4 linked regions of the Arabidopsis thaliana genome follow. The protein of the gene in region 4 interacts with the protein of the main gene of each other region in a biochemical or structural test. Each region holds a gene or a part of one and is shown on either strand. Other genes may lie near its edges. The genes, in order: JAZ5, JAZ11, JAZ10 and MYC2.

Region 1 (4,734 bases), 5.8 Mb from region 4:
ATCTTGGACCTTATACAACAAAAAAGAGAGAAAAACCAGTGAAATCGAGCTTGGGAAAAAGAGCCTAGAAACCCAAATCGAGCATGGAAATGGAAGAAGAATAGAGCAAACCTGTGGCGGGGCAAGGAGACCAGGATGGTAGAGAGACTGTTGCTGCATAAGAGCTTGCTGCATCATAACTTGTTGCTGCTGCTGCTGCTGCTTCAACCTCTGCATTTTCTCTCTCGGGGAAAAAATTATTGTCTTTGATTTTGCTTTTCGTTCCCAGGTAATGAAAATTGACACAGTGTTCTGTCTTTTAGGGTTCGAAAGTGTTTTCGGTGTTCGAGAAAAATGTAAGAAAAATGACAAAATATTAATAACAAAAAAAAAATGAAGAACAGGAAAAAAAAAAGGAAGTCTCTTGATAGAAAGCGAAGGAAGCAATCGAGTGGCTCTTACGAATTTTATTGGATTTATTATTTTTACACATCGATTAGCTAAAGTCACAGGCTGTAAGAAAATTTAAAAAGCAACAGCCAATGAACTCGTCCCACGTTAAACTTATGGCTCAGGCCCAATCACTGTCCAAATCAGACACGCCTTCAATGAACTTGAACCTGACAACTAATTACAATAAACACCCCTGAGTTTAGTGAAAACTTGATATACACTCCAATAATAATCATTTTCATAAATTACACCCTAAATAAATTAGAAAGGAGCTCTGATCACTTTCAACCATCTTTACCCGCATTACGATTGCAGTCAGATTCCTCTTCATGTTATTGCAGTCAGATCAATTCACAACTCCTAAATATTCTTCCTCTTGTCTAATTTGCTATTTCTCGCTTAACGTTATGTAATTTAACTCCCAAGTGTTGTACGTAGTTAACTAATTATAATATAACTTTACTATCGTCTATTGTGTTTATGAATGAATATTCAAGTTAGAATAAGATTACATACTGTAGTACAAAGCAAAATAAAATCACTTAGATAAGTCAGAAAAATCGAAACGTTAATCTAAAAACTCAGTTCCTACAAGAAATTTAGCAAATATTACTATAGCCTTAGATCGAGATCTTTCGAACTTTGGCCTTCTTCAATCTTCATAATATCATCTTTATCACCGTCTGATTTGATATGGGCCATGGTTTGACCAATGGCGTTATCCGGCGGTCTTTGTGACGACTGTCCTGCCTCTAGTGGTTGACCGGTTACAATCTCTGGCTTGGGAGGATAACGATGATGACCTGCGTTTTGGTTAACTTGGTACGGAGCCCTAGCCACAGCTCTGCAACAGAAAAATTAATAACGTAAATTACGAGGCTTGTTGAGGATAATTTAGGAGAACTTATATCAGAGGGAGGATCCTTAAACTTTTGAGTTTTGAACTAACTAGAGTGATTGGAAATTTGGAACATTAAAACAAGTTTCAAAAAGTATGATAAGGTTAAATACCTGTCTTTCCGTTTAGCAAAGAATCGATGGAGGGAAGCTCTACGTGCTATACGTTCCACGATCTGATTTTGTTCTTGTTGCTGTTGTTGTTCCTTTGTTAGGTGATTATTATCAGTAGGCTCATTGAGATCAGGAAGAACCATGCTGCTCTTGTTGTTGTTGTTTTCGTCATTGATTGGTGTCTGAATGTTAATCTCAGTCACAGGCTTGGCTTGTTTTGCTACTTCCATAATCTCTTTAGCTTTGTCTACGGGGAACTCATTATATACTAAAACTTTCCCTCCGAAGAATATGGTCAGCTGCGAACTTCCTGGCTGTGATTCACTGCAAACCAAAAACAGATTTCAGAACAAAACCAATTTTAACCGGATTAACCGATTATCCTTTTCTCTAATCTCCAATAACCAAAAACAACAAGTATTCCCAAGGAACAAAAGGAGAGACCTGAGGTCAGCAACATCTTTGACTTTGCCTCCTGATGAGGTAGAGGGTTCGCCTTTGGAATGCCCTGCCTTATGCATCGCATTTTGTTTCCCTGCATAAAGAGAATAAAAACTTTCGTGAACTATAATAACTTTAGAAAAATGATATAGCATCTTATATCTTTGGAATTTTATTAACCACATCTCAATCAATTTCTATATCAACTTATTCGTTATTTTTGTTACTTGTCTTCATAATTACAAGGAGAAATTATTTCTGAAGTAAGGAACTGACTTACAAATGAAGAAACAATACAAAAGTAGTAAATCTGGCAAAAGCAAGTAGTAACAGAACTGAGTTTTTAAAGTACTATTACCAAGTGGCGGCCATGAAAGAAGAAAGAGATAATAAAAGTACCTGGTGGATCGAATTTTCCGGGCAACGCGAGACTGGAATCGGGTTTTCGGTATAAGCCAAGATCAATGTTTCCGAAACTACCCTTCTCCTTCAAGTAACGGCTGAGCAAACTACATCTCCGGGTAAAGTCAGATTTCTCCGGCGCTTGTGCCTTAGCATTTTCATTGCTCGACGACATGTTGTTGTTTATTGAGAAGAAAGAATTCTCCACACTTACTTTTTAAAGATATTCTTTATCTCTTCTTTTCTTTTCTTTTTGTTGGTGCGTGGATTGCGCGTAAAATGGAAGAGTACAAGAGGCTACTAGCTCAATAGCTCATGTGTTTATAAACTCATTCACCCAATAAGTTTCTGTGACTTTAATAGCCTCTCATAAATTAATGAAAACAAAAATAAATAGGAACTTTTTAGTTTCTTAAAAATATTTCAATATATTGTGACCAAAATAGAATTAAACTTCTCAATAATAAATTTATTAACAACAACCAAAAAAACCAAAAAACAAATCTTACATAAAGCCATGAGATTATATCATATTTAGTAATATTCCATCGCATGCATTTTTAACTAGTTAAAGAACTATATCTAGTGTGAAGAAAGGAATTTTCATCCATGATTAATAGTAAGAAAATTAATGTTAATAATCCATCATTGTGCAAGTAATTTATCTATTGTTTTATGAGTTGGTACAACAAATTTATTGCCCTGTCTTATCATAAAAATATGTTCACCTCTTGTTTCTTGTTTGGCACAGTTTAGTTGTCTACCATCAACGGCCAGATTTCAAAATTGGACTACTTTTTTATATATATTTTCGGTTAGAATTTACCGCACGTTTTCCTTACGCGTAACGATAAAAGAGAAAAAGAATAAAGATTTCAGAACCGACGGCAAACGTTATTAAACGGCGTATGTCACAAATTCGTAAAAGACTCGAAATTTGATCGTATTTACAAAATTTGCCCTTCCACAAGAGCACATTACCAACTCCAGTGATGGCATCATCGTAATAGAAACAACTTTCATGGCCTTTTTTTACATCACCGCGACGTTCCTCACGTTAGTTAACAAACTTAACGGCGGTGCGAATTGAATAGTAAGTGGACCAATGTGGGATCCTACCATCAAACCCCTACGAAGTTTCATGTGCCATAAAAATTCAAAGTCTCCGATACGATCCGACAGAAGTTTTTTGATTAAAACACGTGGTTTAAATAGAACAGACCGTCAAGATTGTGACACGTATCGCAATCTGTACGACGCACTAGCAACAGTATCGTGTGAATCGCGTTTTTCCCACTTTCCTATAGAAAGAAAAAAGGAAAAATCTTAAGATCACCTAATCAGTTTGGTCAAAAATAAAATTGATGGATCAATTGACCGAACTGCCCCTTTCACGGATGCCCATAATAATCAATACGTTCGTTGGTTGCTTCAAAACTACGACTCGTTCAAAAAAACGTGTTCGGGGAAAATGATACCAAAGATATAAAAAGTTTAGATGTGACTTAGTTTAATAAGTGTTGTTGATGGGACTAAATGAAGCAAGATTAGAGCAAACCGAGTGATCGGCCAATTGATCGAACCAGATTGTCAAACCGGTTTGGTAACTCGTTACCCCTAGCTACGCCACTACACTACTTGCATTGTTGCAAAGACCAAGTGGCTGTTGTGTTTTGGAAAAAAAAAAAACGTTCTGGGGTTTAGAAAAATTGGGTAGCGAATGGGTCCTTTTGAAAGTGATATTTTTTTTTGTAGAAGAGGGGGGCGAACCCCCATTTTTATTAAAACTGAAAAAACTAAAAAAATTACACTTGAACGTTCCGGGGGTACGCAGACCCCGCTACATCATCGTGAACAATCGACATAACAATATCCGGAGTAGAATTAAACAAATGAAAACCTAACGGTAAAAAAAAAGCATAGTTAGCTAACCCATCCGCGAGACGATTAGCTTCTCTATACACATGCGAAATCCGGACTGACCAGTCCTTTGAAAGTAAGCCATGGCACAACCGCACCAGGAAGGACAGCGGATGCGAATCATCAATCCCTGTCCGAAGAAAACCCACTACCATCTCCGAATCAATCTCCATCTCCAACTGTGTGACACCGCGCTCCCAAGCGATATTTAAACCGTAATATGCTCCCCATAGTTCCGCAAGCGGAGCCGAACAAATTCCAATATTCAACGAAAACCCATAACACCAATTTCCATCCCCGTCTCGAACTACTCCACCTGCTGTAGCTAGTCTCGGGTTACCACGCGAAGCACCATCAGTATTGAGCTTAAACCAACCCACCCTTGGCGGAGACCACGCAATCAATCTCTCCTCCCTAGCTGTCCGCGTCGTCACTCCCATTTTGTGCACATGCGCCTTCCAAACATCCAACGCACGATCCTTAATAAAACGAACCCGATCCCGACACTTCTTGTTCTCGCCAAAGATG
Region 2 (4,743 bases), on a different chromosome or scaffold from region 4:
GTAAAATCCTTAAATACTTTAAAAGATGATCAAAGTTAAAGTTATCCCAAAATTTATTTGCATTGTTTCGTTGAATGATGTGGTAGCATTAGTCTTTGATCTTAGAGATTTGGTCTTGAAAAATGCACATATATAATTTATTACAAGTTTATACGGGATCATTTTGTAGATATATTTATGTAAATATAAAAAAAGTTAGAAAATATTTTTTTATTTTGATGATTTCAGTCGGATGATTGAGTGGTTATGGTAGCGCTACCAAAATATTTCATAATTTTGATGTTTTTATGAGTTATGATGTATAAATCATTTATAATAAATATGTTATGTTTCATCGTTTGTCATAACTTGGGCACATGTTAAATATATGTACTAAAAAATTATGCCGACCTGTTCACTTTTAGTGACCGACCCTAAATTGAAATGACCAAAAACTGGATTGGCTTGGTTTGAAAATTTTGGTTCTGGTAATAATCACATGCCTAACCAGACCTGAAAATTTTGATCTGAGGTCCCTACTAATCTCTCCGGTTAGTATTTGATGATTTCTCTGTATGTTTCTTGGTCGTGATTTGCTTATAAGGACACTAAGTCTTTCATGGTCATTTTTGAGTACTCTTGTGTTCTTATATAGCTCTGAGACCTTATCATACAGCATCAACATACATTGTGAAGAAAAAGAAATCATCTTCCTCAAAGAGGAGGTGCGAGATGATAAACACATCAAATCACAAACATGGAAAACAATTTTGTGTTTTGTCTAAGAAACATAGGCAGATGATTATCGTACAACAACGGAAGGCTTATATATGAGCTGTGTTAATCTTGTCAAAGATAACTGTGATACTGAGTTGCTTCGAAAGTAAGGTTTGAGGTTAGCTTACAGTCTTGGAGCTCATGTCACAATGGGGCTGGTTTCATTTTTGTCTGCTTCCGAAGTCGTAGCAGAGTAAGGCTTCGTGTGGACAAATCTGAAAATAAAGAGGGTCCAAGTTACTATTAGATGAAATCTAATGGTCAAACTCATAGGTGAGTGATGGAGAAAGATGAGAGTATATGTTTATAAAACAAGCACTGCAGATATGCCTACCGATGCCGTCTTTTCTCAAAAAATCTTTGAAGTGAACGTCTCCTAGCAATTGGCACATCTGAGATAAACATGCATCTTACATAAAGCTCATGGGGTTTTCCATACTCGGACTATATAACGTTTACGGTAATCCAATGTAGCAAGTCCTTACCTGCTGTCGATACGCAAGCTACTGTTGATGCGTTTGAGAATGAAATAGCTCTCTTTAATGCTGGATTTATACTGGTCAAATTAATTGTCTCAGTGGCTTTAGCTGCAGCAGCGATATGCAGAATTTCTTGAACCTATTAAGTGTGATCACCAAGAGAACAAGAAATCTCATGCAACTGCTTCCCAACAAAAACGAAATACGAATGTACTCAAAACTTGGATGGACCAAACCTTTTCAGCTGGAATACCATCAAATACGCTAAAACTCCCACCAAAAATAATGGTTAGTTGACTTGGAAGGATCATTGAACCATCTGGCTTCGTGGACCTTCAATAGAAGAAACAAGAGCTAGTTATGAATGATGGAAGATAATAATAATCCACCCAAATTTTAAGACCCTATTGATGCAAAAGGGAGAAGAACAAAATAGTGATTCCACTACAATATTACAGCCGCTTAGGCTATCAACTAACCTCAGTCCCATCAATACATCAGTTCAAACAACCTACTAAATTTAAATCATCTGATGATGTCATCTAACAGTAGATAGAAGGCTATTTTTGCATTCAACGGTACCAAAATCAAACACACAAGCCTAGTTCAAATTCAAGCTCATAAAACCGATACTAAAGAATGGGCAACAACATCTAATGTATTTGTGAGGCATGATCACTAAGAAATACACAATTATCTGGTGGCCATAAGTCAGCCAAATATGATATAGAAGTAGAATAATACATGAGAATAAAAGCTTAAACACTTGTAAGAAAAAAAACTAAAAGACTATCTCAGTTTCCGAAACCAGTCAATGTATACAAATTAACATTCACATAGATCCAGTCTCTTCATTTGCTTAAGCTTCAACAACCTACCTACACATGAAAATTCCTAAATGCAAGAACAATATTTGACGTCACAAACTAATACATACTAACAAATCAGATTCATACACACTAACACTTCCAGAACTATCAATATGTTAATAAAGCAAACACTGAATATCTAACTACCTGTCCCGTCTCTTCTCGAGAAATCTTTGAAGCGAACGTCTCCTAGCAATTGGAAGATCTGAGACAAACAGGGATTAATAGTCCGTAACTCCGTAGATAATGCTTACAGTAACCGAATGAAGCAATTGCTTACCAGCTACAGTTGAGAAAGAAAGAGCTCTGTTCAGTGCTGGATTGATACCGGTCACATTCTTCGTCTGTTTACCAGCAAAAGCGATGCGAATGATTTCTTGAACCTATTAAGCATTGATCACCAATACAATTAGAAACTCTGATGCAACCAACATAAACAAAATCAGAATGTATGTACTCAAAGCTAGATGGACCAAACCTTTTGTGCAGGGACACCATTGAAGACTCTACAACTCCCACCAAAGATAATAGTAAGTTGAGTTGAAGCATCTGGCTCTGTGGACCTTGAAACAAGAGTTTGAAATTAAACCTCTTGAGTTTCCCAAATTGATCTGCTAATTTAACAATTCATATAGATCCAAGTCTCGTCAATTGCTCACGCTCCTATAGTGTACTAAGAACTAACAAATCACAGAACTATAGGCTAAGAAAAAACTTCAAACACAAAGACAGATAAAGAGAAATGAGAATTAACGATTCAAATTGATTCCAGTTACTAGTGATACATACCTAGCTTCGTGAATCGATCTCTCAACGAGCAAGTCAAGTCCGGCGGAAACAGAACCGGTCCCGTCGGCGAAACTAGGAACGGGGAAATCTCCGTTTACCTCAGCCATGAGCCTCTCTGTGAATAATATCTGTCTTCTCCGTTTGATTGGGAATTGGTTCTCTTCTCTACGCAACGTTCGTTATTCGGTGTATTCATTATTCAATCAATTTTGTTTTCTTTTTGTTTTTCTCAGAAATATTCCAAAAAAACCTCAACTATTTGATTATTTTATATATCTAACTACTTATCTAATAAGTAATAATGCCTTACCAAAAAAAAAAACTACTTATCTAATAATACCTATTTATTTTCATTTGTTCTTGTAATATAGACAACTATTTAAAAAAATAAAATAGTGGACAATTTTGTTCGATGTGAAAAACTTAATACTCTTTACGCATCCTTTTTAGTACATGCATACCGCCGTTATCGTATTGCTAAAATAAATTAAATAAGATATATTAACACAAAGCTAACTATATAATTATGATGAAAAAATCAAAATATGTAAATTAGTCGAAGAACATTGAATCATTTTGATATTGAGGAACCAAAAATTAGAAAGAAATAAGCAAAAAAAAAAGAAATAGAGAAACGATTTGGTTTTTAAAGTTTGAAAATCTAAAAAGTAAAAATATATGAAAAGAGAATTAAAAATGAGACACTCATATCATTTTTCTATGATAATTTCCAAAAAGGCAAAAACGTATAAACTAAAAAAATACAAAGTAAATAAGAAATTTCTTTTCGTTTCAAAAAAAAAAGAATTAATTTTTTAAGGATAAAACTATAATTTGTTTTTAGAGCGTATGTATAATCTGCCAATATTTCTAGTTTGGGTTTTATTTGTCACTAATAAATTAGTTTGAGTTTTTTGACAACCGAAAAAGTTGAGGTTTTTTTGGCAAATTTTAATAGTTGAAGTTTTTTTTGGGAATTTTCTCTTCTATTTAAAACTCTATGTCGTAAAAGGTACAACAGTGGAAGCTTCCACTTCACCAACAATTCAGCTTATAAGCGGAGACCCAACTTAAAAAGTCCAATCCATAAAGATACCCCTTTAAGGAACTAAGAAATATAACAAATCCAACACAAAACCATGTGTGAGCCTATGAAGTAAAGTTGAAGTAGATGTTGTCGCCGTTCGCCGCTCATAGCCGATATGGTACGAAGCGTAAGGGAACTCCAAAACTACCGAAAACCGTCAGAGCTTCAAGAAATAAGTCCACAGGTTTTTAACTAGAGAATCCTACCAACTACATCATCAAATCTGTAAAGAAAAGATCTTCACAAGGGCAATGACTCCCGAACTCCAAAGAACATCAACGTAGATATTAAGCCGATGGAGCTTTTCAGCAACACCTAAAAACAAAAAGGAAAACACTCGTGTCCATAGATCAATTAGACAAATAGCCTCAATTGTAGATCATTCGCCATCTGAGATCGATTCCAGTGAGAAAAATCATCATTGATTATAAAAGCAAGCTTGATTCTTCTAGGTTTCATTGTTCATAAACCAATCGAACATCAAAATAGAGATTTACAGCTAAAAGCAATATTAGTGTGCAATGAAATTGTTTTCTTTTCTGCAACTTAAGATGTAACTCTTTGGATTGATTCCTGCAAATCGCAAACTCAAAAGATCAAATTGGATAATAAACACCTTTAAGCAAAAAAACACCTAAATTTCCAATAGAGGATCTATGAGATTATTGAAAGAAAAAAAAAAAAAAAAACATCAGATACACTGATAAGAAAAGTAGATCCGGCCAACGATGGTCATGGAATTCGAACGCTGTCAGGCAAGAGC
Region 3 (4,481 bases), on a different chromosome or scaffold from region 4:
TAGTACTCTCATTAGCCATTGCAATGTGCAAACTAAGTTTATGTCATCGCAGTAGATTAAATGAGAAGCAATTTACTTGACACAACTTAAAGAGACACGAAAACATTTTTAAGAAACTACATGTAATAAAAAAACTCTCACGTATGCACATGGTGGTATTTATTTCATATCAATAAGCTACAGTATCTTGGTTTCAATGATAAAGAAGACGCAGTGAATGGTTGTGTGGTTTTTGTTTCTTAAATCCGGACCAGCCATCCCTTTTTTGTTAGTACTAGTGATGGATACTATTCAATGAAAGGGGTAATTGTCTAAAAGAAGCCACACAAAGTACGTTCACTTTACCACTTCTTTTCATCTTCATTCCAATGTACAAATTCCACCAAACTCATGTTAAAAGACTTTTGACATAAAGACACAATTAGTCGGGTAGACTTGATAGTATTATATAACTAATACTCACGTGTTTCTTAAACTGTTTTCCATTATAACAATTAGGACAACCCAAGCTAGAGACCAACCAATATAATCAAAGATGAATGGCCACATTTCCTTTAATAATACTCTGATACGGAAGCTTCATGAGAAGCTAAAAGAGGCGTGTTATAATTTTCTTTACCATATACTAAAAAATAAAACAAAAGTAGAAGGTCACGGGATAAGAGAGAGCTTCTTAAATCAAGCTATCAATGACAATAAAGATAATAGACATTTTTAAAAACAAACCAATATATATAATCTTAGTAGGTAACGTAATCTCCTAAAAACGTTTGTCGTGAATAGTATACGATTTAGCAACGACGAAGAAGGCTTCAAAAGAAGATTGGAAATAAGCCAAATCCAAAAACGAACATGGATGTCTTCCGATTGAAAAAGACAAATTTGGTCCATGTCCCAATCTAAAAAGAGATCGTTTAGGCCGATGTCGGATAGTAAGGAGATGTTGATACTAATCTGCAAACACAACAAGACGAAAAAGAAAATGTGAAACCGCGTTTTGTGATAACTTATATAATATACAGATCTTTCTTTGGCCGTATGGTCTGATAAAAGTAAAAGTTCAAATTTTTTTCCGGTGTTTCTCCTCGTTTTCTCATCATTTTGAAAAATATAACTTGTCGGTGTAGCAAACAGAACTAGAGTCAAAGACTCAAAGTCAACGCGCTTTTTAAAAGTTCCATTACAATAGTAACCTACGTATACCGATATTACTACTGATCTCCATTATCTATCTACGTATAAGCATGTGCGTTGTTGAACAAAACTAGTTGAATCTTAAGTTGTATGTGAGAGTAAAAGAGGCAGGACCCATAATTACTATCTTAAATAACTTATAGTAAAAAAAAGGTCGAGAGAGAGAAAAATAAAAACCTTTCTTTAATTATTTGGGGGTAAAAATCCTTGGATTGTTGAAGAATCATTACCTCTCCTTGCGCTTCTCGAGAAAACGTTGCAGTGACTTTCTCCTTGCGATGGGAAGATCTGCATACACACGCATAAACCAGTTTCTTATCAGAAATTAAACAACATGTTTATACTTTTATTAATAACGTATATTAATACGTATAGACATAAACTATAGTCTTTAACTCTTTGATATCTAATTCCAAACTAATTAGCAACCAATTCCTCTCTAACAACAAACTCTTCTTAGATCTCTACATGCAATAATATGTAACTAAAATTCTAGAAGAATCCAGCACTAAGTGATTTTTATTTTTATTATACTAACCTCCTTCTAGATTCTGGCCAAAGAGCTTTGGTCTTAGAGTGGTCGGAAGAATTACCGAAAGATCTGTCTCCATCGACGACTCGTCTTTCTTAGATGCTGCTTCATTAGCGACCTTCATAATTTCACCAGCTTTGTTACGAGACACTTGGAAAACTGAAACACTTCCATTGTAGAAAATCGTCATAGGAACAGTTCCCGAAACGAGTTCGGTACTAGACCTGAGGAAAATGAATGTTTTGAAAATTTGAATTTCAAATTTTTTCGTCTTTTCTGGTAGCGCCAAAAAAGTTAGAAAGAAAAAAAAAACTTTACCGGAAAGACAAAAATACCTGGCGAGAGACGCGTGGACCGGAGAAATCGGGATCTGAGGCTGATCTTCCCTCGGAGTAGACGGAACCGAACGAGATTTAGCCGATGAATCGGAATTGTTTCCAGTGGAAGCTAACAGCGATTTGATAATCTCCGGATCGATTTTCGAAATCGCACCTTGAATATCTGCAGGAGTTCCATATGAATAAATTCGATTTATCGCAAGAAAAAAAAAAGAGAGAGCGACTAAAAACCAAACGAACCTCGGAAACTACGACGGCGATCGAGAAATTTCTGGAACTTAGGCTTAGGAGCGTTGTTGGTTTGTTTCTTCTCAAGTCCGAGGAAATCGAGTTCTATGGTAGCTTTCGACATCTTCTTTGATCTTATTAGAAAGTGAGAGAGAGATCAAGACAGAGAGATATGGGTTTTGAGATGAATAAATGGAGGAATAATAACGGATTCTGATTTCTCATGTGAGAGTTTTTAAAATGTAGTATGTCTCTGATACTTATTTAACGCACGAGGTTCATGCTTTCTCTTTCTTTTCGGCACAATTGGCAACCTATCCACTTTTTCCTTTTTGTTTTGTTTTTATTAGGCTCCCAACCTCTTCTCTTACTTATCTAATTAATTTAATGATTCAAAACACATGTTTAAATTCTTAATATACCTAATGTAATGTAATTGCTTGCTACGCAGAAAGAAGATATTTTATATCCGGAAATAACGGAAGTCCAATGAACATTGTAATGTTTTATAAAAATATATCTTCAAAAATTTGGTAACATGTTTCTGTTACTGTTCGTCACATTGGGTTCTTCTGACATTATATTTGTTTTCTACTCTAGTCTCTGATCTGTATATTTTTCTCGAAACATGTTTTTCTTTTCCATTTTTTCTTAATATGAATTTTAATCTTGCTACTACTAGCTCTACTAGTATAGCAAATCACATTTAGTAGATATCAGTCTTATTGATTTTTCAATATAAACAAAATTTGACATTACTATTCAAGAATAATATTTGGTTGACCTAATAATACAACTGAAATTTCTTACATTTCTAAACTAAAGTACACCAATAAACTTTCATCATATTTGGGAAAGTAACCAATAAAACATACAAATAGGGATTTTAGAACAATAAAATGTTGGTGGTGATTCACAGTTAGTGTTTTGAAAGAAGAAGAAAAAATAAGATTTTCAAATCCATTCAAAAAAAGATTTAAAGAAAACACCACTGCAGATGCATAAAGACTAGGTCAAGTCGGAACTTGGAAGTTTGTTTTCTGCCAAACCAGAAAAGACGGGTCGATCCTTTGGACGATGTCGATGGTTTTTCTTTTCTTTTCTTAGTTTCACATTTTGGCTGGTGTTTTTTTTTCACATGTGGCCGCTCTTTTTCTTGTTCTCTTGTTTAAAGCATATGTGGCTGCTCGTTTCCTAACAGATTTACATATTATTACATTGTTCTCAAGTAAAGTTATAGAGGGATTCAATGAACTCACGTTTTTCTTTCTTGTGAAAATATACCTTGAACCACTTCCGAATTAAATTGACCTCAATTTTCTATCTTGTGCTCAAATTTAAACTTCACCTTATTCTATCGCGCGCATGTTAGCTTAATTAGTTACATTTCTCCTTTTTACTATTTTAAATTAAAAATCATATAACTACAAAATGTAGTGATTACGAAAAGTAATTTTTTTAATTAATATTCTGAACTAATCAAATATTAAAAAAGAATTACGTATAAAAAACTTTTTTAGTAGTATATATTTGATGCCGAAAGTGAAAGTTTTTTTTTTTTTTTTTTCTTGGCAACCGAAAGTGAAAGAGTTAGATGCATGTCTTTCACGTGTTGGGAGCTGTAGTAGTAGTAGTTAATGTCAATACATATCATTATTCACTAGGCTAAGGTGCACTTCTCGATAAGTCTTTAGAGGTTTTCGTCGCTCTCTTTCATCTTCTCACGTTCCAGAGTCAATACGCCTTATTTATTCTTTTTCTTCCGATTATTTTTATTTGTGTTATCACACGTTTTGTCAGTGCTGCCGATTTTTAATGTCGATGTATTTTTCAAGCTGACTAATTTGCCCCTCTGTCCACCTTTCATATACGACCTTACCCTTCTTTTGGCCTTTAATCTCAGAAACACATATTTAACATTTTCAAATTTTTTGAATCGAATCTTGAAACGAAATATGAGAACACTAATGTATAGTGGATTTATTATATTGGATTTAACATGTATAGTGGATTCATCATTACTGTATTATCTATATTTTTTTTCTTGCATAAAACTAAATGGCCGAAACTTTAAGTCGTTTACAGCCCACACTAGTTAGTACCCTTACATAAGAATATAATTGAACCTATAGTTGAAAAGCCCCTTAAGGTAGTAAACCCATTTAGAGAAGAAAAGCCCATTTGAAGAA
Region 4 (5,467 bases):
AATCACTGAGATTGGTAATATATGGGTTTTAGCCTCTTAACCTAATCATCGAATTAATCATTCAGGTTCTTTGAGTATCGAACTTCTCTGTTTTCTCAACTTGAAAGCAAAGCAAAATAACATTTTTAGTTGTATCGATTAGCTAATTTTGATTCTTTGGAAGTCTTACATTTCTGGTTGATTGCTATTAACGAATCTCTAATTTGGTCCTCCTCTAGTTGCAAAATTACATTTGTGTGTGTTTTGTGTCTTCAGCTTTTGAATTAAGAAGCTTCTAGGGTTTTATAGAGCTTTAGATTCTTTCCTTTAAATGCATTACCTTATAATAGAATTTGGTTTGTTTTATCAGTGTTTTGAGTAATTGGAATTGAAGGAAAGATGAGCAATGGTGGTTTGAGCATTGATGAGAAAGAAGGGTTGATAGACAAAGATGAAGTCATGATCCGTCGAATGAAGAACAGAGAAAGACAACGTAGGTATCGAGCCAGGAAACGGATGCGGGAAGAAGAAGCGGGTAACGATGATAATCTTTCGTTTGAGACAATGGGAAAACAAGAAGAAGAAGAAGAAGAAGACGAGGGACTAGAGTTTAATGGACCTAGTGGTTATGTTGAGAACTTTGTGCGGCGGGTTTATTGCGATAGAAATTGGAAAAAAGAAGCTAGAAGAGCTCATTTGATTATGAACAAGGCTCAAGATAGTTCTTGTGAGTCGGTTAAACGGAAGATAAGGCCGCATCGTCGAGATTGGAAAGCTGAAGCTAGAAAGAAGAAAACTTGATTCTTGAGGATTGGTCAGGTTGCTAGAGGATCTTGCGAGGTGATCGAGGAAGAGAATGCACAAACAAAGCAGATTTCAGATTCAATAATCTCTTCAAGATTTCTATTTTTGTAGATATTGGAAATGATCAAGACAAAAGCAAGTGATTTGCTTTTTCTTGTCTGTGACTCTGTCTGTGTATTCGAAGATCCATGTAGTATTATACTAAGGTTTATGTGTGTTGTGTCTTATTGATTAGACAAGAGGAAACATTATCACACTGACTTAAGAAAACTGTGCATATGGTCTCCCTCTCGACTTAACTTACTTAAGATTTGTCTCTCTTCCTAAGTTTGATGTGTTAGGAGAGACATTTTTGACCATATGTACAAAATCAGTGATCATGACCATTAGTCTCTTATTTTAGACCATTTATACTCGATTTCTTTTTCTTTTTTATCATATGAAATTGTGTAGAAATATTAACTTTTTCAGTAACTAACTCATATTACTCATATCAATATATACAAGTTTACTCATTGAGGAGATACAACAATAAAACGATACAGACTCAAACATAGAGCAAAAGAAGAAACTTGTCGCTCTATTTTAAGATTTTTTTCTTACAAAACTAAAATCTACAAAATTACTGAAGCCACTAAAACGAATTAATTATGATTTGACCCCATAACTTTCTAAACTTCCCAAAACACACCCTTTTAACCGATTTTTGAAATCAAACTTGCTCTGAGCTGTTCTTGCGTATAGATCCTAAAACCCATCTTCACCGTCGCTTGTTGAATCATCAAATCGTTAACCACCGACATACTCGCGTGATTCACTTCCAACTCCAAATCCATCAACGCCGACATCAACCTCGCCGCCGGATGATTCCTCTTACTAGATTCAACTCTAATCATTGCGTCCCAACCAATTATCTTCACTTCAATCTCCATCCCCACCGGTTTAATCGAAGAACACGAAGACGACATATCTCCTCCACTAGCACTCGCTTTTCTTCCGGCGAGCTCGAGTTTCACTTCCTCGAGCTGGTTCTTGATTTGGAGTTTCTCTGACTCTGTTTTGACTACTTTGGATTTAAGCTCGTTGATGTAAGCGATTGCGTCACCGAGTAACGAAGCTTTATCCATTTTTGAAACGTTTGGTACAACCGCTCGTAACGCGTAGAATCTTTGGTTTAGTTTCTCGCGTCTTTGTCTCTCTGCTTCGACGTGGTTTAGTGGCTCTTCTCTACCGTTTGCTGGCTTTCTTCCTCGTTTCTTTGGACGTTTCTCTACTGCTACTTCTTTCACGACGGAAGCTTCTAGATCGGAGTGATCTGATTCTCCGGCGGTTTTATCTCCGAATGATAGAACTTTATCTTCGTTCAAAACCATCGACCTCTTTCTTTTGTTTTCGAATTGTGTTTGACCCGAATAAGAACTTGGATCCGGGTTTCCGGAGCTTCGTTTACCTTCATCGCCGAAGTTTAATATCTCGCCGGATCTTGGTTTCACTAAAGTAGAACTTGACGTCGAAAAATTAAGTTCTCGGGAGAAAGTGTTATTGAATTTCGGATTCTGGGTCTGAGAATGAACCGGACTCGGAGTCGGATCCAGATTCGGGTTTTCGGTTATTGTGCTTGAGCTACCGTTCTCAAACTGAATAGACTTTGAAAAAAGCTGGGAGCTAGAACTTGGAGCTCCGTTACCCGGTTCGTTAGATCCAGGTGTTCCAATCGGGTCATTAATCCACATAGACGGGTCGTTCTCACCTTGATCCGGGTCAAGATTCCAATTAAGACCCGATAAATCTCCAGCTCCGCCGTCGAAATTGAAAAGAATTCGAACCTTGTTAATAAGGTCCGAACTCTGTCGGATCGGCTCCGTTGACCCGACTTCCACAACTCCGTTCGCCGAAGGAATACACGCAATAGTATGCATCCCAAACACTCCTCCTTGCTTAGCCCGTTCACAACCCGACCCGGATAATTGATCTGACCCGGAAACCCAAACCGCGTTACCCGTTGCAAACGCTTTACCAGCTAATCCCGCACCGCAAGCGAAGCTCTGCGTCATCGAAACCAAGAAAAACCATTCCGTATCCGTCACCTCCTCATCAACAGCGTCATCCGACGGAGCAACACCACCGGAGATCAACGAGTTAAGCTCTCTCAACACTTTTTTCCTGTACTCCTGATCCGCCGGAGTAGAAAACGGCGGCGAACTCGATCTCCGTCTCGGGTTTGCTTTATCTTCTTCACCTTTGTAATAACCATCTCCCCATCCGAGCACGGAGGCGCCGGAGAAATCATACGACGGTTGCCAGAATATAGCGTAGGTCCAACCTTCGTGTGTTCCTTCAATCAAAGCTTGTAAACGTTGCTGAAGAGTCTCTTGATTAAATCCCGCCTGTGCCGGAATCTCCATCGCCGGCGTCGGAGTTGTTTCAGTCGTCGCCGTCGTGGTTGTCGTCGACGCCGGAGGCCATAAAGTTGAGATATCGGAAGAGCTCATGAAAGCTTCCATCATAGAAGCGTTGTCGTCGGTGGTCCAAAGATTCATCGTTGGTTGTAGCCGGTAATCAGTCATTCCATAAACCGGTGACCGGTAAAAAAAAACACGTTTTTAATGAGAGAGAGAGAGATAGGAGAAAGTCTTCGTAGTGGAGAAAAATGGAGAGCGTCTGCGATTATTATATGTGTAACTGATCTTGAGGGTGAATGTGTAAATTTGTTGTTAGGGATATTACGTGGCGAGATTTCATTGGGAAACGTGGATGGTTGTAAGAGAGAGAGAAGCTTCGATGAACTCACATCCCGATTTAACCCCATCGACTGTTGGATCGACGCGGTAAGAATTAAGACCGGAAGTGAGTGAGATCGTACGGCTGTTTGGTCGCACGTGTATCACACGCTCTTTAATGATTGACTTAGATTTTAACTGATTGTTTCTTTTGTACCAAAGAGTGAACTGTGAGCTCAGTGGAAAAACACTTTACTATAACTTTTCACCTATTTTTTCGATTTATATTTGTCGTTTTGTCAACTTTTAGAATATATTTTTTATAACAGATTAATTACTTATTTTATAATGTTATTTTAAAATATTAAAAATCAAAATTTAAGATTTGTAATCTCAATTATCAAATACTGTGTCTTAGCTTAATTAATTTTGAGATTTGCATATCTATATAACGTGAGTCGTTGCTAATAATTCACTAAAGCAAAAATTTGTGTTTGTCTTAATATGTTAAATTGCAAGAGAGTGAAATGCAAGTGAGAATCTCTATCTCCAAAAACGATTCTTGTCTGCTTAACTAATTAATTTGTTGACGACTAAATAAACTAATAATTTATTAATTTGACCAAACGCTATTATTAGCATATGCTTTAAGAAAGGAAGAACTCCTTTATAATATTTTTAGTTACATTCACATTTCACGATAAACACATGCTAACAACGTTATATTGTTTGTTTAATTTACAATATTAAAATTTTATTTTTAAAGTTCGAACAATAATTCAAGGATTAGGTCATTAGGTGAGTATGAGTGAATAACATAAATCATTTGGCATCTTTTCCTCCATGCATAAATTTATCACAATAATTTAGCATGCCACCAATATGGTCCCATTACTCCTAACCCTTACCTAAAAACCAAAAATAAAACAAAAAGAATTAAGATAAAATAGTATATATATATATATATATATATACTTCTAAAATTCTATCTTGCGAAGACAAATTCTTACTAACAAAACACTAAACTTATGTTATTGTGTTCTTGTAGATTTACGTTGTCTTGTGATAAACTCAATGATATGTCTTTATACGTTCAGATTAATGATACTCCGGTTGATTTTTCTTATTAAAACCATATTAAACTAAAGAGTATTTTACCAACAATAAATAGTAAAATAATTTTGGGATCTAGTATACCATTTTTTGTAAATAACAACCAAAATAACTTTTGAATATAATTTTCTGAGACATCTGTATTGGGTGAACTCGTCAATGAACGATTCAACAAACAGAAAACAACCAAACCATTGTCTGGTGGTTGTGAGTCGACTTTTGAACATGTTTACTATAAGAAAATTATGAGAAGATGTTACACTAAGTTTTGGCTAGGTGATTCGTGATATCATATTTCATGTCGACTTTGGGGGTGACGCCACTAGAAAACAACAATATCCCACTAAGTAATGAATAATTAGTGGGATAAATATAGAGATTTCCCCCCTTACTTCGAGAAATGAGATAACAAAGATGACAGTTTTCTTGTTATGTTGTTATGTTGAGCTTAGAATGGGGATGATGGAGTGTTCTGACTTCTTAGAGAAAATGGTTGAAATTTTTTAAGTAGAGAGTCGGGTTGATTAAATGAAGATCTTACTATCACCTTGTTGAAAGAGAGGGACATTAGTCGGGATTCGGGAACAATGTGGAACGTAAGATATAAATTTCCCATATGTTATTTCCTAACTGCATGAAATAAAAATATATCTGTTACCTGATCCAAATTTGTATGTGACCAATTCGAGTTATTCTTAGATTTAGAGAAATAGAGAATCATCAATTGGTGTACACTTTCGATAGATCGTCGAACATGATATAATGATCTTGATTGATTTGGCATGCTCGAATAGCTTATACAATGTGTTACATATGTTAGGTTAATAAGTGACTAGGATGACCTTGTAGAA

The links.
Region 1: the proteins of MYC2 (region 4) and JAZ5 form a complex in vitro, tested with the Arabidopsis thaliana proteins (one study listed by BioGRID).
Region 2: the proteins of MYC2 (region 4) and JAZ11 form a complex in vitro, tested with the Arabidopsis thaliana proteins (one study listed by BioGRID).
Region 3: the proteins of MYC2 (region 4) and JAZ10 form a complex in vitro, tested with the Arabidopsis thaliana proteins (2 studies listed by BioGRID).

What each region holds. Positions count from the first base shown.
Region 1 is NC_003070.9:5,954,610-5,959,343, forward strand, and holds JAZ5 (jasmonate-zim-domain protein 5), read right to left. Parts: upstream 2,903-4,734; 5' UTR 2,462-2,902; coding exon 2,284-2,461; exon of another isoform or gene 2,070-2,283; coding exon of another isoform or gene 1,979-2,069; coding exon 1,888-1,978; intron 1,768-1,887; coding exon 1,444-1,767; coding exon of another isoform or gene 1,377-1,443; exon of another isoform or gene 1,277-1,376; coding exon 1,045-1,276; 3' UTR 546-1,044; downstream 1-545. Other genes in the region: UBP1B (oligouridylate binding protein 1B), read right to left, coding at 112-216. UniProt on the Arabidopsis thaliana protein: Repressor of jasmonate responses.
Region 2 is NC_003074.8:15,365,927-15,370,669, reverse strand, and holds JAZ11 (jasmonate-zim-domain protein 11), read right to left. Parts: upstream 3,125-4,743; 5' UTR 3,001-3,124; coding exon 2,894-3,000; intron 2,668-2,893; coding exon 2,583-2,667; intron 2,488-2,582; coding exon 2,385-2,487; intron 2,310-2,384; coding exon 2,252-2,309; intron 1,569-2,251; coding exon 1,472-1,568; intron 1,375-1,471; coding exon 1,242-1,374; intron 1,149-1,241; coding exon 1,091-1,148; intron 972-1,090; coding exon 896-971; 3' UTR 513-895; downstream 1-512. UniProt on the Arabidopsis thaliana protein: Repressor of jasmonate (JA) responses. Targets MYC2, MYC3 and MYC4 that are JA-dependent transcription activators.
Region 3 is NC_003076.8:4,216,936-4,221,416, reverse strand, and holds JAZ10 (jasmonate-zim-domain protein 10), read right to left. Parts: upstream 2,590-4,481; 5' UTR 2,417-2,589; coding exon 2,305-2,416; intron 2,228-2,304; coding exon 1,733-2,227; coding exon of another isoform or gene 1,728-1,732; exon of another isoform or gene 1,483-1,727; coding exon 1,421-1,482; coding exon of another isoform or gene 1,378-1,420; 3' UTR 955-1,377; coding exon of another isoform or gene 915-954; 3' UTR 504-914; downstream 1-503. UniProt on the Arabidopsis thaliana protein: Repressor of jasmonate (JA) responses. Interacts with and suppresses RHD6 and RSL1 transcription factor activities to negatively regulate jasmonate-stimulated root hair development.
Region 4 is NC_003070.9:11,797,564-11,803,030, forward strand, and holds MYC2 (Basic helix-loop-helix (bHLH) DNA-binding family protein), read right to left. Parts: upstream 3,845-5,467; 5' UTR 3,351-3,844; coding exon 1,479-3,350; 3' UTR 781-1,478; downstream 1-780. Other genes in the region: AT1G32630 (FAM50A-like protein), read left to right, coding at 379-780.